Linked DNA regions of Sus scrofa. The protein of the gene in region 3 purifies or fractionates together with the protein of the main gene of each other region. This does not show direct contact. Links are inferred from orthologs where the notes say so. Each region holds a gene or a part of one and is shown on either strand. Other genes may lie near its edges.

The links. The genes of interacting proteins can lie anywhere in the genome.
Region 1: the proteins of FKBP5 (region 3) and CDK4 purify together in Homo sapiens (affinity purification with mass spectrometry; 3 studies listed by BioGRID and IntAct, counting the BioPlex papers as one, with this or other methods). This does not show direct contact. The link is inferred for Sus scrofa from reciprocal best matches to the Homo sapiens genes FKBP5 and CDK4.
Region 2: the proteins of FKBP5 (region 3) and IKBKG purify together in Homo sapiens (affinity purification with mass spectrometry; 3 studies listed by BioGRID and IntAct, with this or other methods). This does not show direct contact. The link is inferred for Sus scrofa from reciprocal best matches to the Homo sapiens genes FKBP5 and IKBKG.

Annotation. Positions count from the first base shown.
Region 1 is NC_010447.5:23,037,844-23,045,467, forward strand, and holds CDK4 (cyclin-dependent kinase 4), read right to left. Parts: upstream 4,117-7,624; 5' UTR 4,050-4,116; intron 3,605-4,049; 5' UTR 3,586-3,604; coding exon 3,368-3,585; intron 3,209-3,367; coding exon 3,073-3,208; intron 2,956-3,072; coding exon 2,788-2,955; intron 2,623-2,787; coding exon 2,513-2,622; intron 2,265-2,512; coding exon 2,214-2,264; intron 2,074-2,213; coding exon 1,938-2,073; intron 1,699-1,937; coding exon 1,606-1,698; 3' UTR 1,363-1,605; downstream 1-1,362. Other genes in the region: TSPAN31 (tetraspanin-31), read left to right, coding at 1-90, 381-494, 596-670.
Region 2 is NC_010461.5:125,041,180-125,048,995, reverse strand, and holds the start of IKBKG (NF-kappa-B essential modulator), read right to left. Parts: upstream 4,117-7,816; coding exon 3,930-4,116; intron 1,480-3,929; coding exon 1,268-1,479; intron 518-1,267; coding exon 399-517; intron 1-398. UniProt on the Homo sapiens protein: Regulatory subunit of the IKK core complex which phosphorylates inhibitors of NF-kappa-B thus leading to the dissociation of the inhibitor/NF-kappa-B complex and ultimately the degradation of the inhibitor.
Region 3 is NC_010449.5:31,446,610-31,453,799, forward strand, and holds part of FKBP5 (FK506 binding protein 5), read right to left. Parts: intron 2,668-7,190; coding exon 2,482-2,667; exon of another isoform or gene 2,065-2,481; intron 1-2,064. UniProt on the Homo sapiens protein: Immunophilin protein with PPIase and co-chaperone activities. Component of unligated steroid receptors heterocomplexes through interaction with heat-shock protein 90 (HSP90).

The DNA of each region.
Region 1 (7,624 bases), on a different chromosome or scaffold from region 3:
ACTCGGAATGAACTGGAAAGAAGTTTTGATTGCTGTGGCTTGTTCAACCTCACAACCCTGGATCAACAAGATTATGCTTTCTGCACTGCAGTGAGTTGGTGCAGAAAAAGTGGGGGGAGAGGGTAGGAAAACTGGGTTAAGGACAGTGCCATATTGGCAGATTTGAGTTTGTGACTGGCAGCTCAGTTTTATTGAGGGCTGTGTGCTGGTAGGAGTGGGGGTGGATACAGAGGCCAAGGAATCATCCACATGGGATTCCAGGCTGTAGGATGCTGATCAGGAAGTGGGAATATAATTTCTAGGGCCATTCACCACTAGGTATTAGACTAGAGCAGCATAGCAACTCTGCATTCTCCTAACTCCCATATGTTTATCCTCAGATCTGCAAGAGCCGGAGCCCCTCATGTCAGATGTGTGGAGAGAAGTTTCTTAGGCATTCAGATGAAGCCCTGAAAATCCTGGGAGGTGTTGGACTCTTCTTTAGCTTTACAGAGGTAACATTCTCCAGTTGCCTAATGTCCTTTCTCTACATCTGTTAAGTCTTAGTCCCAGAGATTCAAAATTGTTGCTCACCTCTTCCCCTCTGCTTCTACAGATCCTTGGTGTTTGGCTAGCAATGAGATTTCGGAATCAGAAGGACCCTCGAGCCAACCCTAGTGCCTTTCTATGAGATGCTGAATCCTTCTGACTTTTCTCCCGCTGTTTGCTCTCCCTAAGCCTTTTTTTTCCCCCTCCCTTAGGGAAAACCTGGGGTTTACAGCCCTTTTTGTTTGAGGAAAAAGGAAAGGTCTTTTGCCATGTTCCCTAGATGACTGAATAGCTAGGCTTTATGCCTTGACATGTTTTGTTGGGAACAAGATTATAAAGAATAAAAAAACCTTCCTTCCTCTCTCCCTAAGTGGATATGGAAAGCTCCTGAAAGTGCATGAGATGGGATAGAGGTCGGAGGAACTCCTGGCTCTGTTTCCCCTCTTCTCCCTTCCATGTGCTGGACTGCCTCAACACATCCTGGCTCCAAGGGTAAATCAGGGACAAAGCCAGGGAGAAAACCACCAAGAACTCTTGTAATAAGCTGGACCCAGTTTGAAGAAGTTCAGTAAATATAAAAATAAAAGCCATTTAAACTCTATATTCAAAAAAGCAACATAAGTGCCTTTTCTTCTTTTGCCAGTTAAGGAGCTCCACTGACTCTATAGACTCTATGATTCTGTGGGGAAGTGCCATCTTCCAAATGTTTTTTTTTTTTTTTTTTTTTTTTCAAATCCCTAAATCAGAGGAAAAAACATTCCCAGAAAAAAGACCGTATTTCTTTGTTTTGTTTCTCCTGTATAAAAAAGGATTCTAGTATCAAGGTACAGGGAAGGGGAGAGCAAGGAACATACCCCTTGGTGTAAGGAAATGGGGGGGGGTAAGTCTCAAAAGGAGGGGAGGGAGGGGAATGTCATTAAGGCAGCAAAATATTCTCTGTAAAAAGACAGAGGCAGTCGTCTCCACACCCCAGAGATGAAGGCAGAGATCGACTTCTCGGCAAGGGACTCTCAAGTGTTCAAAGGAAGGGAAGTGTTGGCTTCTCTTCTCTTGGTTCTGTTGCAACCATTCCATTGCTCACTCTGGGTTACCTTCTGCCTTATGTAGATAAGAGTGCTGCAGGGCTCGGAAGGCAGAGATTCGCTTGTGTGGGTTAAAAGTCAGCATCTCCTAAGAAGGGAGGCAAAGGTCAGAAAACTGTGAAGAAAACAAAATAGACTTCTACTCACCCTTAACAATATCTAGAATGGGTTCTTTTCTATCTCTCTTTGTGGACTGCCATTCAAAGCAGCAAGAGAAAACTAGCCCATCCACTAATGAGTCTCAGTGATCACAATGTGTTTGGGTCCCTTTTATACTGCTGTTTTTTCACCCCAATCTCACCCTGTGCCCATACCCAAGCCCAGTACCAGTAGCAGCTGTGCTCCAGACTCCTCCATCTCAGGTACCACCGACTGCACTGGGCGGGGCCCTCTGGGGGAAAAGGCTCCTCGGGGTAGAGACACATCTCGGGGCCAGTCATCCTCTGGGGGCAGCCCAATCAGGCTATGGGAAACAGGAGAACTCTGGTCAGGAGGGCCCGTCTCTAGCCCCCACCCCCAGGGGCAGAGCCAGTTTCCAACCAGGGCTCAGCAGAAAGAGGACGACTAAGAATGGAAAACTCTTTTCCCTTCCCAATCACTTACTCAAAGATTTTGCCTAACTGGTCAGCTTCAGAGTTTCCACAGAAGAGAGGCCTGAGGTGAGAAAAGACATAAGACAGCAGTCATTTTCAAACATATGGTGGAAGAATGATTACAGCTTAGTAGCTCAGAACATCGGGTATGTAGAATAAAGAGCTATGGAATTCCTAATTCCAGGATATTTCAGAGCTTCTGGTTATAGACCAGATGGTCAGGAGTACTCAAGTAGAAGAGTGGCCATGACATGGATGTGGTTTATGAATAAGAGATTTGGGAAATTATGGGTTATTTGGGCCCCATACTTTCGACGAAACATCTCTGCGAAGATACAGCCAACGCTCCACATGTCCACAGGTGTTGCATACGTAGACTGCAAAAGAACTTCTGGAGCACGGTACCAGAGTGTAACCACCTAATAGGAATAAGAAGGGTCGATGAGGTCCCTACTCCTTACCATGAAGCACAACTGCTTCACTGAAGTCAAGCACGTAAAAAACACGTGACTTCCCAACTGCTACGAGCAAGCATTCTCCTCCCACTAACCAGAAGCCATTTTGGCTACCATCTTTCTACTGACCACAGGTGTAAGTGCCATCTGGTAGCTGTAGATTCTGGCCAGGCCAAAGTCAGCCAGCTTGACTGTCCCACCACTTGTAACCAGAATGTTCTCTGGCTTCAGGTCTCGATGAACGATGCAGTTGGCATGAAGGAAATCTAGGCCTCTTAGAAACTGACGCATCAGATCCTGGTTTAGAAGGGGGAGGTACAGAGAAACTGGAAACTAGGCATCATACTGGAAGCCACAACAGATGCTACTACAAAGATCCCAGTTTACTTCTCAGTATATGTCCATCCTACTCACCTTGATGGTCTCCACCGGCAAGCCTGGTGGGGGTGCCTTGTCCAGATATGTCCTTAGATCTTGGTCCACATGCTCAAACACCAGGGTCACTTTGGTCTCTCGATCAGTTCGGGCAGTGGCACAGACATCCATCAGCCTGGCCAGAACAAAAGGTCACTCAGTGATCAATCATCTTTGACCTAACATGGCTTCCCCTATTCCTTCAGGGTCCCCACTTCTTTCAACCACCACTCCCCACCTACAGGTTGTCTATTCCTTTTTACTACCCACTCCCAACCCTCCACCTTCTTCTCACCGGACAACATTGGGATGCTCGAAAGCCTCCAGCCGGCGCAGTAAGGCCACTTCACGAACCGTGCTGATGGGCAGGCCCCCTCCAGCACCTCCTCCATTGGGGACTCTTACGCTCTTGAGGGCCACAAAGTGGCCACTGTGGGGATCCCGTGCTTTGTACACGGTCCCATAGGCACCAACACCAATCTCCGCCACTGGTTCATACCGGGAGGTAGCCATTCTCAGACCAGATGAGACCCTACAATCACAGAGACTCCTGCCACCAAATTCCCTTCCAGAGTTCAAATAGTTATGAGCCTGCGGCAACAAAGTGTCTCGCACAAAACATATCCCAAAGACAACAAGAGCAGCATCCCGTCCCTTCCCCAAATTTCCATAAGGCCGACCCCCCTAGGTAACACAATGATTAACCAAAAGCCCTCCAGCCACGTGAGGCCCTAGAATTAAAAAATTCCTTCTTCTTTGGGACTATCAAGCCCTGTACAAGGGAAATCCCACACGACACACCCCCTGCATTGAAGACCCTTCACCTAGTCCTTTAAATTACACCTCCCTATGACCACAAAGGAACATACTACACCCTGCACCACTTCCCGCCCTCGAGCGACCCTTCCAGACCAGCCCGCGTAGGAAGCCGGGGAGGACTAGAATGGTCCCTATTCCTGGAAGGGGGCTACACTTACCTCGCCCCGTGTCAGGAGCTGCGGGGGCGGCCCGTTATCGGGGCCCCGGAGCCGGTTCTTGCAGCGCCATGCACTCGAGCTCTGTCTGGGGCAGCTGGACTCTACGGGCCCGACCATAGACATAGGCCGCAGGCTAGAGCGGCCCCCTTTGCCCCCACCCTCACCATGTGACCAGCTGCCAAAGAGGCGCGCGGAAACTGGCAGGGCGGGGCGAATGTGCCGGACGTTCGGAACACGTGACCAGAGTACGCGTGCGCAGAAAGGCAGCTTGGAGCCTATTTGACCGGGAAGGGGGCGGGGAAGGGAAAGGGGCGGAGGGGCGATGGCAGCCACGTGATCTGTTGCTATCACACGTGACCGCTTGACTGCTTGGAGGAGCAGAGGTGTGGTTACGCTGTAGGGCACGTGACTGGCTGCCGTAACTCTGGCGAGGGGGGGGCGGGAGCCTAGAGAAGGTGGAGTCCAATACGGTGCCATGGCAACCTGGGCCACCCAGATCCCAATTCCCCATTGCAGGCCGAGCCGGAGCGCCAACTCCAGTGTCACTATGCGTCTGTCACTCTATATGCAGAGTGGGGGGCCTGGGGACGTGAGGAGGTGCTGTCGCCTTTATGTACCACCGCCATCGGAAAACATATTCTCATTTGTGTCTTTGTTTCATTCACTCATTCAACAAATTTTTACCGAACGCTTACTTCCTGTGTAAATGTACGGTTTTTGCTACATGAGTTTTTTTGGTGTCTCAGGCACTAGCCCTTTAAGGTAGTGAAAAGGCTATATGTAAAGATATAGCCGGCAGCGTGATCATATAAAATAGAGAGGACACAATACCCGTTTTAGGGCAAAACTAGCATTAAAGGACTGATGGAAGGCAGATAAATACAGTAATCCAACAGGAAGCGTGGCAAGGTAGTGTGCCTTCACCTCTTCAGAACTTCCATTTCTCCCTGGGAGTGTTAAAGCAGAATCTAGATACCTCCTGGCAGAGAGGTTATTAATGAGCTGGAAACAGGAATACTTGACCTTTAAGGTTCTTTTCCAGAGTTCCTGCTGTGGTGCAGCGGGGTGAGATCCGTTGAGTTAGTTGTCTCTGTGGTGGCACAGGTTCAACCCTACCAGGCGCAGGGGGTTAGCGATCCCACGTTGATACATCTGCAGCTCGGATTCAGTTCCTGGCCGGGAACTTCCATATGCCACAGGTGGGGCCAAAAAAAAAGTTTCTTTTCTGCACTAAGATGGTGTGTGTGTGTGTGTGTGTGTGCACGCGCGCGCGCACGCTATTATATACATCATATACAGATGGATATAGGAATGAGTGTGTGCAAGGAAGTTACCACCACATTGCATAAAAATGACTATGCCCTTGTCCAAACCTTCTAACTTTTTATATGGGGCCATTGAGTGGCCTTCTCTTCCACCAGTGCAAGCTTCCTTAGCCTTTGTCCCTCCACAGAACAAATGTTCCCCACTCACAGACATCTAGGTAGGCAATAGGCAGGTTTCTCTGGCTTCTCTTGTCTTACTGGCTCCAACTTCTTTATCTCCCAACCCTTTGGGGGAATGGGGATAAGGAAACGTAAGGATCAGTGTCTCATTAATGATAAACTGTCTAATATCTGAAACCATTCTATTAGTCTATTTGCTCTCCTTGCACCCTAACTTCTGTTCTCCTTAACCATCTGGCTGAGGATGTCAAGCTTGAGATGAACATAAATTGTGTTGCATTCTTTTTTTTTTTGTCTTTTGTTTTTTTTTAGGGCCACACCTGTAGCATATGGAGGTTCCCAGGCTAGGGTTCGAATCAGAGCTGTAGCTGCCAGCCTACACCACAGCCACAGCAATGCTGGATCCTTAACCCACTGAGCGGAGCCAGGGATCTAACCTGAGTCCTCATGGATACTAGTCAGGTTCATTAACCACCGAGCCATGGCTGGAACTCCATGTTGCATTCTGAAAGTTCTAGCTCTGGGCCCTTGCTGGCAAGGGCAGCTGGGATACTAGTAAGAAACATCTCAAGGTCTAAACTGGCTAAATTGCTCCATTGGCTGTTTTGCTAGGAACGTTCCTGAAGTCTGTCTCTGAGTGTGCCGAACTCCCTTCCCATACCAGCAGGGTTCATTTTAGCCTCACCTTCCAATGAAGCCCCCCTACAACTCACTGTCTTTAAAATAGAACTCATTCTCTGGGAGTTCCCTGTTGTGGCTCAGTGGTCACGATCCTGACTAGCAACCACAAGGATGCAGATTCTATCCCTGGCCTCCCTCAGTGGGTTAAGGATCTGGCGTTTCGGCAATCTATGATATAAGTCGAAGACACTTCGTAGGCTGGCAGCTTTAGCTCTGATTAGACCCCCTAGCCTGGGAACTTCCATGTGCTGCAAGTACAGCCCTAAACAACAACAACAAAACAGATAGAAGTCATTCTCTATGTTGGCTTGGGTTCCAGCCCCTTTTTCATCTTTTTTTTTTTTTTTTTTTGTCTTTTTAGGGCTGCACCCATGGCATATGGAGGCTCCCAGAATAGGGGTGGAAATGGAGCTGTAGCCACTGGCCTATGCCACAGCCATAGCAATGCCGAATCTGAGCCAAGTCTGCCACCTACACCACAGTTCACAGCAATGCCAGACCAGGGATCAAACCCACAACCACATGGTTCCTAGTTGGATTCATTAACCATTGAGCTACGACGGGCACTCCAAGAACTCTTTTTTTTTTTTTTTTTAAGGGCTTCATCTGTGGGTATGGAACTTCCCAGGCTAGGGCCTATGCCACAGCCACAGGAATGCCACATCAAGTCACACCTGTGACCTGTATCACAGCATGTATCAAAGCTAGATCCTTAACCCACTGAGCAAGGCCAGGGATCAAACTGGCATTTTCCTGGATACTAGTTGGGTTCCCCCCCCCTTTTTTTGTCTCCTTTTGGCCGCCCAAGAATATGGAGTTCCTGTGCCAGAGATCAGATCCAAGCCACAGTCGAGACCTAAAACTTAGCTGTGGTAACACTAAATCCTTAACCACTGTGCTGGGCCAGGGATTGAAACCTCATCCCAGCACTCCCAAAACACCACCAATCCCACTGCGCCACAGTGGGAACTCTGAACTCCTCTAGCCCATTTTTCTGATTCATTCATTCATCCATCCAAAATATATGAATGCCTCATAAGAGCATTACCCCCCTTTAATCACTTTCTATCGAGGAGCCTTAATTTGGCAGTCTGTTCCTGATTCTGTACCCTCCCTTCTCCTGTTAATTACTCTTTTACTAATTAATTTTTTCCCTGTGTGTTTGATCCAATGGGCTCCCCTGTAATTCCTTTTCCCTCAGAACTGGAAAAGAGAAGATGTAAGTTTAAGGCACAAATAATGTGATGAGGAGGTACAACTGGTTCTGAGTCAAGACCCCCATCAAAGCAAAGAGCTGAGTTTCCTTGTGACGCAGCAGGTTAAGGATCCAGCATTGTCACTGGAGCAGCTCAGGTTGCTGCTGTGGCGCTGGTTCAGTCCCTGGCTGGGGAACTTTCACCTGCCTCTGAGGTGGCCAAAAAGATTAAAAAAAAAAAAAAAAAAAAAAAA
Region 2 (7,816 bases), on a different chromosome or scaffold from region 3:
CTCGCCCTCCAGATGAGGGAGGTCCCCATGCCTAGACCGTGGGCACAACACGGTGGCCTATGGGGAGCACCTGCTTTCCTCCAGGAGTCAGGAGGCTTGGCGTGTGCTGGGCCATGACCAGCCCTCCATCAAACTCAGGGCGCTGAGTCTCCAGTGGCGCCCCAGGCCTCCAGGGAGGCCCAAGTCGCCGCCAGAGAAGGGAGGAAAGGAGGAGGGGGCCAGAGGCAGGGGGTGCTCCGCCCCCGCCCTGGGCCTTCCGTCCTCGGGGGTCCTGGGCCGGGAGGGCACTGTGATCACGTGGACTCGTCCCCCCCACCCCGCAAACGGCCCCTCGGGAATCATCCAAAACTCTGGCAAAAAGTCAGCGGCCTCGGGCAGGGCTCTCCCTCCACGCTCACCTGCTCTCCAGAGCCTGCCGCTCCTTGGTGGCGGCCTCCAAGCGACTCTGGCTCTCCTGCAGCTCCCCCAGCAAGGACGTCACCTGGGCTTTCACTGAGGCCTTGTCCTCTGCCATCTGCTGCACGAGAAGAAGCCACGCCACGTCAGCACTGAGACCGGCCACCCCCGGGGCTCCTCTCCTGCCCCCGGCACCCCGACTCATCTCCCTCTCATCTCTCGAAGCTTCTCCCCCAGCAAGGCCACTGAGGATGGGGCCAGAGGAGCACAGAGCTGCCCATGCGGGCTGAGCCCAGCAGGAGTCTCCCCACCTTGCTGAGACTCAAACATGTGACAGAAACCTGCGCGCTCCCCGGGCCCCAGGCCACTAGCAGGTAAGAGGGAGTGACGCTGTTCCCACAAGTCCTGCACCTGCCCCAAAACTCAAGAGTTCTCCAACTCCCCACCGCCCAGACGCCCTCCCAAGGCTGTGCAAACCCTGGGCCCGAGACCTCAGGCTGCTCAGGCCCAGGGTCAAGCCTCAGGCCCCCACCCCTACACGCAGCGCCACCCACCCCGCCCGCCACTCATCCCCCTCCTTTTCACGCCCATCTGCGTGCACCTGAGGATGATCGGGTCGGTCTCAAGGTTTCCACTGCCCTGGACAGGCCAACGGCTTCCAAACCCTGAACCCCCACTGAGCCAGCCAACGGCCTGCCGATCGCCCTGACGCCCGTCCGCAGGCCCTGCTGGCTAAGGCGCCCACTGCCACCACCCCCGCCCGCCCTGGTCAGAGCCCCGAGGATAACGGCTTCTCTCGACTCTGTGCGGCCGCCCGAGGGTGCTCCTGGGGACCCCCGGGGGAGAGGGCAGGCGGCCGGCGCCCCGCTACCTGCTGGCAGGTCTTCAGGAGCTCCACCTCCTGCAGGGCCTGCTCCCTCTGCCTGCGCAGCTCCAGCTTCTCGAGGCTCAGCCTCTCGACCAGGCGCCTGGCCTCGCAGAACTTCTGCATGAGAAACTCCTTCTCCTCCCGCTGGCTGCCCTGGAAACGCTGCAGCTCCTCACAGCGCTCCCGCAGCATCTGGTTGCTCTGCCGGATGGCATCTGGCGGCAGAGGAGACGCAGAGGGAGGTGAGGGCGCCGGCCTCTCCCAGGCAGCGCACTTTCAAAAGCAGTGGTGCCCATCACGTGCCCATGCTTTTCCAATCAAACATTAAACACATCAGGTGCACTGAGAGCTCTGGGTCCGATGCCACCTTTTTTGTAAGTGACGCTGGAACTCGTCTATGTTCTGCTCGGGTGGGAGGCAGGCCTACCCTAGGGCACCCGGTCACTGCCTCCAGGATCAGGGGGCCGGCCACACAGGGCAAACGTCCCTGTGGCCCTGCTGCCGCAGACTGGGGGCCGGAAGCCTTGGAGCCAGCCGGCCGGTCACCGAAGCCCCACCATCCTCATCGACATGTCCCAACGGGGACGATGACACCCATCTCACGGGACAAGGAAGGTCACACAAACAAGCAGCCAAGAGCCGGCACACAAGACCAACTCGGGGACCAGTCGGTCGTCCTCTCCCCACACACCCAGCGGACACCCCAGGCGGCAGAAGGCCATCGTGAGCGACAAAACTCATCAGCGGCACGCAGAGGTTCTAGCAAGCACAGAGCCAGATGACACGGGGCAGGCAGTGGCTTCATGTCACCCTCTGGTCAAAACACGTGACCAGCTAACTGGTGCCTGCTACTGGAACATTCTTTCACTAGAACTTCAGCAAGTTATTTTCTCTCCCCTCCTTTTCTTGGCTGCACTTGCAGCATGTGGAAGTTCCCAGGCCAGGGGTTGAACCCGTGCCACAGCAGCGACCAGAGCCACAGCAGTGACAACACCAGATCCTTAACCCACCGAGCCACCAGGGAACTCCTACGGCAAATTCTGAGCCCCACTCCAAAGCCACCTTCTGGACTCCACGGTCCCCACATGACTCCTCCTGTGCAGCTGACCAACAAGCCTTGGACAAGGCCTCTTGCCGAAGGCAGATGGTCCCCCCCAACGGCCACCTGCCAAGCCTCCGTCCGAGGTTCACCTCAGCTCCCACAAAACCTCTGTTTTGGGGGTTTTTTTAAAGATCTTTTTTTGGGCCGCACTCACGGCATGTGAAGTCCCTGGGCCAGGAAGCAAACCTGCACCACAGCAGCGACCTGAGCCACTGCAGTGGCAACACTGGATCCTTAACCTGCTGCACCACAAGAAAACCCACAACTTTTGTTTTTAATTGAGGTAAAATTCACGTAACAGCAAATTCACCATTTTAACTATTTTAAAATACACAATCAGGAGTTTCCGTTGTGGCTCAGCGGAAAAGAATCTGACTAGCATCCATGAGGACGCAGGTTTGATCCCTGGCATTGGTCAGTGGGTTAAGGATCCGGCGTTGCCCATGAGCTGTGGTGTAGGTCACAGATGAGGCTCAGATCCCGCATTGCTGTGGCTGTGACGTAGGCTGGCAGCTGCAGCTCCAATTTGACCCCTAGCCTGGGAACCTCCATATGCCCCCAATGAGGCCCTAAAAAAAGACAAAAAAAATACACAGTCATTCAGTGGCTTTAATGTATTCATATAGTTGTGCACCCGCCCCTCCCTCTAGTTCCAGTGCATTCCCATCACCCCCAAAAGAAACCTCCCACCCACAAGAGTGTCACTGAATGAGAGGCTAGGGGTGCCCCCCCCGGATGCCCCAGGCTACTGCACCAAAGGGGCAGCTTGCCAGCAGCGGAGGCCCAGGGCACAAACCCGAGGAGGAGGGGGCGCTGTCCCACACGAGGGGGCCAAGAACGGGTCACACCTGAGGGGCACGGAGCCATGGCCCCTGGGACCCGAGAAGGTGACCCCGATACAGGGGAGGACGCGGAGGCTGGGTGAGTGGGGCTGGGACGGAGGCGGGGGGGTGGGGGGTGCCGAAAAGCCCTCGACCCCCCGCCCCCGGCAAGTGCTGCTGGAGCACAGCCCTCCGTCAGGTCCCCGGCGCCGCCTGGCCCCTCCTTCCCAAAGCCGCCCCCCGGCCCTTCCCAGGGAGGCCACGCCCGTTCCCAGCGCAGACCACACCCCCTTCCTGGAGCAGATCCCGCCCCCTTCCCAGGAGACCCGCGCCCCTCCCAGTAAGGCTGGTTCTGACTGACTGGTCAGTACATGAGTACGGAGACACCAGGGCCTGGCGGCGTCGGCCCAACCGGGACAACGCAGAAGGGCCATATTCCAGCTCAAGCCCCTTGCAGGGTGGGCCTCTCCCTGCACCCACCCCTGCTTCTTCGCTGCCCTGCCCTCCCCTCCCCATCTGCAGGGCTGGTCCCAGAGGACTCTGAATAAACCTCCTGCGTGCCTCCCTGGATCTCGGCGTCCACTTCCCGGAAACCCCACCTGGACCAGGGCGGGGGCGGCGGCTGGGACCAAATCACTAACCCGCCCGGGTGCACGCCGCCCCAGTCCCAGGAAGGCAGAGGTGCGGCAGGTGGGAGGCGCCGGCCCGGGATCTCGGGGCACAGGCCCGCTGCCGCCCTCACCTCGGAGCTCTTGATTCTCCTCCAGGCAGCGCTGGAAGGTCTCAGGAGCACCCTGCTCCGAAGGCAGGTGGAGCATGGTTGGCTTCCCCAGAGAGGACTCTTCACCCAGCACGTCCTGGTCCCCTGCCGGGCCGCCGCTAGGCTGCACCATCTCACACGGCTGACTCTTCCAGGGGGTCCTGCTCATCCAACAAGTCAGCGTCTGAAAGAGATGCCAGCAGAGGCATCGCGTGAGGAGACCCAGGCAGAACTCTCCTACCCTGCAGGACAGGGAGTGCCAGGGCCACGCTCGGCAGAAGGACAAGCACTTTGCCAAGTGGAAAAGGCGCTAAAAAGGGCTCTTTGGTCTACGAGTGGCTCACATTCCCCTCATGTGGGGCTCGCAAAGGTCACGGTTCAGCACCGGCCGTAAACGGCGCCTCAGGCTAGCTCCCGGCTGGACGCTGAAGCTGCCGATTTCACCACAGAGGAGAATCGACGGAGATGAGGTTGGGAGGCAGGGGTCGCTGTGCTGGAATGCCCACCCTCCCCACACCTCCAAGCAGTAAGATGGGTCCACTCCCTGGGCCCCGGAACCGGGACTGATTGGGAAAGGGGATTTGTTGGAGTTCCCATTGTGGCTCAGCTGGTTAAGAACCCAACTAGTATCCATAAGGATGCAGGTTCGATCCCTGGCCTCACACAGCGGGTTAAGGATCAGTATTGCCGTGAGCTGTGGTATAGGTCACAGACGCAGCTCAGATCCCGTGTCACTGTGGCTCTCACTCATGTGGGCTGGCAGCTGCAGCTCCAATGAGACCCCTAGCCTGGGAACTTCCATATACCTCAAGTGTAGCCCTAAAAAGCAAAAAAAAAAAAAAAAAAAAAAAAAAAAAAAGGGAAAGGGAAAAGGAAAGAAGGAAAAGGATGTAATACAAGTGAAGGATCTGAAATGAGGTCCTCCTGGATCAGGGGAGCCCTAAATCCAATGATGAGTGTCCTTCTAAGAGACACAAAAGGAGAGACAGACACAGAAGAAGCCACGTGAAGATGCAGAGACTGGAGTGATGCGGCCCCAGCCCAGAGATGCCTGGAGCCACCACAGGCTGGAAGAGGCAGGAAGGACCCTCCCCTGGCGCCCCCAGAGGGAACAGGGCCCTGCCACGCCCTGACTTCAGGCTCCTGGTTTCCAGAACGGAGAGAGGACAAATGCTGTTGTCTTAAGCCATCTGCCTTGGACTCTCTCACGGCAGCCTAGGAAATCAATGTACCTAGTGAGAAGGGCTTCACAGAGACCACTCAGAACCTGGTGGGCATTCCCTGGAGCTGAGCACCCGAAAGCGGGAGCTGGGCTTGCAGCCTAAGGTGGCAGGGCCGAGAGTCAGGCTGAGCTGTGTGCATCGTCCTGTGAACTAGAGGCGGGGGCAGGGGGGCGCTCTGCGGGACAGCACCCGCCCGGAGCCCTTTTAAATCCTGCCCAAGAAAACCGACTACATGGAGGAGGAAGCCGATCCCAAAAGAAGCTTCCAGGAGAGAGCCTGAGCTGCAGCTAGAGACGTTTAACACCAAACAAGCTGGGACGTTTCGCTGTTACACTGATACTTCTCTGAATAACCCCCTGACCCACCAGCACTATCTGACCAACCGCTGAGCCCTGAGTCCAGAACAGCCACCACTTCACTGGCTGCTCCTGCTCTGGCTCTTTCCGTGGACCATCCTCGCCACACTTTTCATGCTGTGATGCTCCGGGGCTCCTTTCTGGGATCTCATCTTTTCTCTAACTACAGCTACTCCAGCGCTAATTCCATCCAGACTCCCAGCTTTAACCCCCATGCATCAAACTCAGCATCTCAGGCTGGACATCTAATCCTCCTCTCAAAACTCACCTCTCCAGAACTGCACTGCTCACAGTCCCCAGAAGCCGGCTCCACCCACAGCCTCCCTTATTATTAGGTGACAGCACGTCCACCCTCCGGTCAGCAGGACACAACCTGGGAGTCCTTCTTGAGTCCTCTCTGGCCCTCAGGGCTCACGTCTAATCCATTGGGAAATCCCGTCAAAAGGTATCTTAGAATCTATTTGAGGACACTAAGCAATTAATGTTAACTTATTTTAGGTGTGATACTTGGTACTGTGGTTGTTTCTTTCAAAGTCCATTCTTAGAGATGCATCCTGAAACATTTACAGCGAAATTATAAGGTGCCTGGAATTTGGTTCAAGGTAATGGGGGACCTGCTCGGTATGTACCTGAGAAAAATGAAAACACAGGTCCACGTGAGACTGCTCTTAGCGGCCAAAGGGTGGAAATGACCTACATGTCCATCGACTGATGAATAAACACAATCTAGTACATTCCTACCCTACCATGTTAATAATATTGAGCAGGAGTGGCGCAGTGGTTAACGAATCCGACTAGGAACCATGAGGTTGCGGGTTCGATCCCTGCCCTTGCTCAGTGGGTTAACGATCCGGCGTTGCCCTGAGCTGTGGTGTAGGTTGCAGACACGGCTCAGATCCCACATTGCTGTGGCTCTGGTGTAGGCCGGCGGCTACAGCTCTGATTGGACCCCTAGCCTGGGAACCTCCATATGCCCGGGAGCGGTCCAAGAAATGGCAAAAAGACAAAAAAAAAAAAAAAAAAAAAAAAAAAAAAAAAAACACTGAGCAACACAGAGAAACAGCTCACAAGAAACCACATATTATGAGTCCATTTATGTGAACTATCCAGAATAGGCAAACATAGAGAGATGGAAAGACTAATAGATGCTTAGAACTGAAGTAGATAAGGTGATGGGTTGATGAAAATGTTCGAGAATGAATGGTGATGGTTGTGCAGGTGTGTGAATATACTGAAAAGCAGTGAATTGTTCACTTTCAATGGGTGAATTGTGTGGTATGTGAATTATATGTCAATAAAGCTATTTTTGAAAATAAGAGATTATGAGGGGTATAAATTAAGCAAAGGTAGCAACAGGTTGATAACTGTTGACGCTGGGAGGTGGGTACCTTGGGTTTATACTATCCTTTCTACTTTTGCACATCTTTGGTATTTTTCACAATAAAACGATCCGAGCCCCATCATCTCTCACCTGGATAACTGCAATAACCTCCTAGCAGATCACCTTGCTCCAACCCTTGCCCCCTACGTACAGTCTGTTCTACCCACCGCGCCAGAACAATCAGACCAAAAGGTAATTCCTACCACGTCTCTCCTCTATCCAGATCCCTACCATAGTTCCTCATGGCCCTCCGCCAAAAAGCCACAACCCGTACAACAAGATAGTAGGCCGTGCACTATCTGGTCCCCCATTGCTTCCTCTCTAACTATTCCCCCCTCGCTCACTCTATTCCAGGTATAGTGGCCTCCTTATGGCCCATTCATCCTCAAGTCACAGAACTGATATGAGGTCCGGCAGACATTAACCGTTGTGCAAAGTGAGCAAAATGAAGCGCATGAGGAAAGATGCTTAGCTGTCAAATTACCCTTGAGGCTTTTTTAAAGAACTTAACAACTTCAAATGTAGTCAAGTTCGATGAACAGAAAATGTCTCCGAAGTAGAATAGTCATCCACGAACTAGGGGTGTGGTCAGACTCCGCCGCGGCAGAGGAAGGAGAGGCGAAAACTGCCCCGCTCGTCGCCAGAGTAACCTGGGTCCTGAATTGGCCAGCCTCGGCGGGTGATCTAGAAGCGGGCGGCAGAACCGGGCCGGGGCCCAATAGGAGGGGAAAGCCTGGTCGTCCAGGGGGGGTCTCGGAGGTGGCGGAACGCCCACCAATAGTACCCTATCTTCGGAGAAGAGGACCACACCTGTCAGCAGAGTCGGTCCGACGTGAGAAGGGCGGGAGCGGCGGGTCCCGAGCGCTCCTCGGACCCCGGCGCTCGGAGAAAGTTCGGGTTCCGCGGTCG
Region 3 (7,190 bases):
TGAGATGAATTTGTTGCCAATACTGAGAAAATAAACCACTGATAATATTCAATAATAAATAAAGTACTAAAAATTATTTATGTTTGTCTTTTTAGGGCTGCACCTGCAGCACATGGACGTTCCAGGCTAGTGGTCAAATCAGAGCTGCAGCTGCAGGCCTACATCACAGCCACACCAACACTGGATCTGGGCTGTCTCTCTGACCTACACCACGGTTCATTACAATGCTGGATCCTTACCCCAGTGAGCAGGGTCAGGGATCAAACCTGCATCCTTATGGATACTAGTCGGGTTTGTAACCTGCTGAGCCACAATGGGAACTCCAAAATAATAATGTCTTTTGACTCAGTATATCCATTTTTCTAGGAATTTTGTCCCAGAGAAATTATCCCACACATATGCAAAGAGATGCTATGTAATTTGTAATATCACAAACCTGGAAATCTACCAAAAGGGATTGGTTAAATAAACAATGATAGATTCATACATAGGCTACTATATAGACCTCAAAAAGAATGAAGTATTGTATGATGAACTGATACAGAAAGACATCATTTTATAAAGCTATAAATCTATATATTGTCATTAAAAAAACACATATATGTCACTCTATGGAGAAAAAAGGAATGTGTTTGAAATGAAAGACTGGTTTTGGGAGAGAGGCTCAAGGGGAATTGTATAAATAATGTCTGTTTCTTAGGTTTCTATAATGTCTGAATTTTGTTTTTTTTTTTGCCTTTTCTAGGGCCGCTTCCCACGGCATATGGAGGTTCCCAGGCAAGGGGTCTAATCAGAGCTGTAGGCACTGGCCTACACCAGAGCCACAGCAACACGGGATCCGAGCCGAGTCTGCAACCTACACTACAGCTCACGGCAATGCCAGATCCTTAACCCACTGAGCAAGGCCAGGGATCGAACCCGCATCCTCATGGTTCCTAGTCAGATTTGTTAACCACTGCACCATGATGGGAACTCCTATAATGTCTGAATGTTTTTTGTTTTTGTTTTTTGTCTTTTTAGTTATTTCTTGGGCCACTCCCGCGGCATATGGAGGTTCCCAGGCTAGGGGTCAAATCGGAGCTGTAGCTGCCGGCCTACACCAGAGCCACAGCAATGCGGGATCTGAGCCGCGTCTGCAACCTACATCACAGCTCACGGCAATGCCAGATCATTAACCCACTGAGCAAGGGCAGGGACCGAACCCGCGACCTCATGGTTCCTAGTCGGATTCGTTAACCACTGCGCCACGACGGGAACTCCAATGTCTGAATTTTGAATGACTTTTTACTATGCTTCCATAATAAGGCACAAAGTTTTTAAAAATATAGTGTTTTTTTTTCCTCAGGCAGAAATTTAGTGTAACATTGCAGGGAACATGTTAATCCACAAAACTAAAAATATTTTTTGGCCACCCCTCAGCATATGGAGTTCCCAGGCCAGGGATCAGATCCGAGCCTCAGTTGTGACCTATGCACTGGATTCTTTAACCCACTCTGCCCAGCCAGGGATCTAAACTGTGTTCTGGCGCTGATCCCACTGTGCCACAGCGGGAACTCCAAAACTCAAAATCTTCAAACTCAAAAATAATTATGCAGTTATTAGATTTTACTCATAGTATAACATACACTGTTCATTCTACCACAGTAGCACCAGCTCTACATAAAAACAACAGAAAGGTACAGGTGACAGTAAAGTTCTGGTCTTTCAGAACTGAGGTGCCCTTAACAGTGTTAACAACATAAGAGTAATAAGGGAGGCGGACGCTTTGTGGGTCTTTCAAGGTAGGTATGTGTGCTCTTAGTCAGTGAATAAATATGATTACAATAAAAAGGGACTTGTACATATTCCTGCACGAGCAGTCAAAGTCCTAAAAGGCTTAAGTTTAATCTGTCCTTATTAAATTGAACCTGTGGAGTTATATATCCGATCTGGTACCAAATGCTGGAGACTTAAGGTCATAGATAAAATTGTTTAATTTTATCAAAACTTTTGTTCATAGTGTATTATTATTATAAGTAATCTAGGCATCAGTAAGGTATGATGAATTTCTGAGTTTCCTAATTCTTTTTTTTTTTTTTTTTTTTTTTTTTGCTTTTTAGGGCCACAACCATGGCATATGGAGGCTCCCAGGCTAGGGGTCGAATTGGAGCTGGAGCTGCCAGCCTACACCACAGCCACAGTAATGCCAGATCCCAGCCGCGACTGCGACCTACACCACAGCTCAGGACAACGCCAGATCCTTAATCCACCCCCTGCAGGCCAGGAATCGAACCTGCATCCTCATGGATGCTAGTCAGATTCGTTAACCACCCAGCCATGATGGGAACTCGGAATTTCCCAATTCTTACTGAGAAACAAATAGTCCCCAACAAAACAAAGCAAAACAAAAATCCCAAACCTGGGAGACGAGGAAGAGCAAGCAGAAGCCGACCATGCATGAGGCAAGACCACCTGGCATCTCTCCCCACGCAGTCACTTTACCTTGTCACAGCACTCCACGGCTTTGGTGTATTCTCGCAGCTTCAGGTAGCACATGGCCAGGTTCAGGAAGGCGGCGAGGAGAAAGGATTCTGAAGCTTTAGACTCCTTTTCTGACAAGCCGTACTCCATCTCTAGCCAGGACACTATCTTCCCATACTGAATGACGGCCTGCATGTACTTGCCTCCCTACGAGATAAACAAAAGCTAGGAATTATGTGCTGTGCGGGCTCAAAGGAAGGGTAAGCCCAGCCCTCCCTGAGAAATGACCACCTGGTCCCACCTGAGGACCCGTGGGTTCTCGGTCCTCCGGGCCCCTCCCCTTGTTTCTGAAGGCCGGTGATTCGGGCGGGGCTCAGGCCCGGCCCTGCAGTGCTCTCCTCCCCAACTGCCCGCCTCACCCTCCCAGAGGGGCCGTTCTGTCAGCAGGCTTTGGGGTCACATTCTTTGGTGCTAATATTCATCGGATTTCCAAGAGGCTGGTGAGTCTAGGCTGTGTCACTAGCTTACTGGAAAGGGAAGTTACTTTTCCCCTTTCTCCTGATGGTCGGCGCTGCACAGCAGACATCATGTCCTAGAGCAAATGCTAGTCCCAAACCCAGCAAATCGCAGTTACTGAAACCCAAGGTTGGCAACCTCTTCCTGTAAAGGAGCAGATAATATTTTACGCCTCGCAGGCTAAACAATCTCTGTTGCAACTCTGTCCTTGGTAGCACAAAAGCAGCAATAGACAGCTGATAAATAAGTGGGTGTGGCTGCGTCCCAGTAGAGCCTCACTCCCGAAAACAGGCTGTGGTCTGCTAACCGCTCATCTACAGACGACGGGAAAACGCACAGATGAAGAGCAGCAGTCCCACATACAGCAGACATAAACCACATAGGTGTCAGTCAGCCAACTCCATGAGAAAAATCTGAGTCACATTTTAGCTCTCGCCTAATTAGAATTCTAATGATTGTGACTAACAACTGTGTAGTTAATCCATGTGAATTATATATACGTGCTATACAAGAAATGACAATGTGTTTACTGCCATTTTAGGATGGATGTAAGGAGTGAGAGCCACTTAAACACACAAATAAGACGGGGGTACAGGTGAGGGGTCTCCTCGGTAGGAGGCGGCTATAAGCTGGCAGAACTGCATCCAGACCCAAATCCAGTGTCTGCCCGACGAGCATGTTACGATCCCTTCACCAGGGTTACCAGTCAAGGCAGAGCACATGCTCCCAGCACACACAGAACTCACCCAATGACTGAGAAGAGAAAAAGCGGAGCAGATCTACGAGAATGTTGTTATGAAGGACTCTAGCTGGAGAAGGAAGCCTCGATGTCCCTTTTGGGGCAGGGCCTGGGTCTGACCGTACAGACCCAGCTGACAGTGGGGTCACCCCCAGCACCACCACGGTGCACTGACAATGCATTTACTCGCTGAACAGACTGCACAGCACAGCTTAGCCGGGCCCACCTTAAGCCTGGGCAGATCCTCATCGTTTACCACAAAGACTACTTTACCAGAAGTGTTGACTCCCCCACGTAAGGAATCCTGTGCTGAGAACGTCTGCCCTCCTGGTCTTAGGACCGACTGGGGGCTGCGCTCACTGCTGACCAGCGTCATGAGAGGGTAGCACACACATCACTGGCCAGGAGAAGGCAAACCCCCAAATTCCAGGTGTGGGTTCTACTGAGGGGGTGCTGCTCTCACACCTTTTTTTTTTTTTTGCCTTTTCTATGCACCCGTGGCATATGGAGGTTCCCAGGCTAGGGGTCCAATCGGAGCTGTAGCCCCTAGCCGACGCCAGAGCCACAGCAAAGCGGGATCTGAGCCGCATCTGCGACCTACACTACAGGTCACGGCAACGCCAGGGATTGAACCCAAAACCTCACGGTTCCTAGTTGGATTTGTTAACCCCTGTGCCACGATGGGAACTACGGGAACTCCTCTCGAACCACTTTTCAGTCCGTCTGCACTTACGGTCCGTCACAGCCTGAGGCCACTGCTCAAGAACACAGCTCCCCCGGGTCAGGGTGAGGCATTTTCTGTCACTCTCTTTTCTCTTGCTGGACTGTGAGCTCTTTGAGGACAGAAACCATGTCCGACCCCTTTTGGAATACCCAGGGTTTAACACAAGGTGGCTCTTAAGGAAGGTCTGCTGAGTAAACATTAAGGTCAAAGGACTATAACTATGGAGTGAGTCAAAAGTTTTTCAGTCACTGGGAGCAAAATGGAGGTGCGGGTGGAAATGAGAAAGGGGTCATTCCACTCAGGTCAGGCACTTCCCTGTTATGTCTTGCTTCCTCTTTCCCTCTCCTCCATCTTCCACGTACCAATTTCCTTTCTGATTATCTAATATATTGTCACAGGGAAAGAAAAGAAGTGCCAGGGAGGATAAGGCCCCAGGTGTTAAAACTTCAGTAGGTTCTGATATCAGAATGGTAGAATGCTATGGTTTCTTACAAAAACTCCCAAAGTAAGAAGACTTCATAATACACAAATGTTCCTTTACATTTATAAAGCATTTTTTAAAAGAGCCACACCTGTGGCATATGGATGTTCCCAGGCTAGGGGTCAAACTGCAGCTGCAGCTGCCAGTCTATGCCACAGCCACAGCAATCAGGACCTGGCCTTGTCTGCAACCTACATCACAGCTCACCGCAACACTGAGAGCAACCCACTGAGCAAGGCCAGGGATTGAACCCGTATCCTCACGGATACTAGTCAGGTTTGTTAATGCTGTCACGACAGGAACTCCCTCTAGAGCATTTTAATGCTCTTTCATGTATGGCATACATAATTTTATTTATATCTCAATGTCTAAAGCAAAAGTTTTTGTGCTATTTCTGCTTCTGACATACTAAAGACAGGAGTTCTCAACCAGGGTGACTTTGCCCCCCAGGGACATTAGGCAGTGCTCAGAGATGTTTTTAGCTGTCACAAGTGGAGAGGGTGTGTGGGTTTCTGGCATCCAGTGGTCAGGGCCAGGAATCTGCTAGGTATCCTACACCACACAGGACAGCCTCCCAGCAAACAGAAGTATACAGCCCCAAATGTTAGTTGTGCTCAGGCCGAGAAATCCTGCCCTAAAAGAATGAAGGAAAGAGGAAAGGGGGGAGATTGAGGGTTTTTCTTTAACCTAAAATCCTCACATCATGGATGACTTGTCTCTACATCATAGCACTGGTTTCTGGGTTTGGCAGTGATTGTTCAAAACATAGCAAAGCCTGGTTTGTCTACAAAGGGTTCTGTGGGTTGCAAGATACGGAACTTGCTTGCTTTAGAAATGCTTCTCCCCAAGGAGCACAAGGGGGCGTAAGAGCCCCATAGCACCAAGGTGTCCTCAGCCTTCTGACCACTGCCTCCAAGTCGGAAAAGAGAAACACTGCCCAGGTGTGAGAATTAATGCTCTCGGCCTGGAAGAACACTGCCTGCCTGACCTGCACAGTCCCGGCAGGACGTCATTGCTATTAAATGTGCTTGATAGTTATTTTCAGAGTGAAAGGAAGAGAGTCCTTGCCTACCTTTCTTCTCTTTAGTGTTCAGAGGTTGATGGGAGTTTCTAAACACCAAAATCATTCCCATTTAAAAGCTTATTACAGTTCTACCCCACTAAGGGGAGAGATTTACCCACTTAGGTGTAAACCAAACTGACAGGTAATGAAGGTGGAGCTCCAGCGTGCGACGGCCGTGAGATGTGCCCCAGTTCTGTGCTCACAGAGAGCCGGACTCTGCGTGTGCACACTGCGCCCTGTGCAACACCCTGCAGAGCCCAGGCCCGGGAAGGCAGTGTAGCAGATAGAAACCTTCTGAAAAGGGAATGGGTATGGGAACCTATCTACCAACCATTTCTGAAGATGGGATCTTTTACCTATCATTATGAAGGTGCCTCCAGGGAAGTTTTGAGTAGTACAAAATGTTCAGAGACATTCTGGGAGAAAAATCTTAGGTCAGTGGTTTTGAACCTTTCATTAATTTTCCCCCAATAGACTAATGTTTTGGAAGATGTTGTCTATCAAATTGCATGTTAAAAATAATATGTTCCATATGTGTGACTGCTGATCCAGATTTTATCCGAAGATCAGTCATTGTAAGAGGGTTCATATTATGAAATACACAAATCACTACTGCAGCTGTGATGCTAAGAAGCAACAAAGTTAAGTAATTGTATAGCAACTTGAGCCCTTCTTTTTGCTGCTAATCACCAATTCCGGCCATCTCTCTGTATCTATTCAGGATAGCTTTAGGTCATGGCTTTGCAACATTATTTCATTATCATTAGTGTTCCCCAAAGTTCAGAGTTATCAGCAACCAATCAGAGCTTCTAAACAGCTAAATTGTTTCATTAGACCAAGTTGATTTAATTCTAGTCAAATTCCAAAAGCCTCAATCCCCCACCTCCAAGTGTTAATATTCTATTTAGCAATTTTGGGAAATGTAAAAAAAATATTTAAAGACTACATATAGTTCATATTGTCTTAAGGGATTTTACAGAAAATTTTATTCTAGTGTATTATATATTTGGGTCTACAAACAGCTCATTTGGAATCCTGAGCAGTTATAGCAACCAAGTTAAGTAGAATTTAAAGAAAATCAAACGTGTTCTCAAATGCACACTGGTGGTATAATGGTGAGCATGGCTGCCTTCCAAGCTTGCTCTCTAGAATTTAGAAATGCACAGAATTTTAGAGCTGGAAAGAAACCTGGGAATCATATAATTTA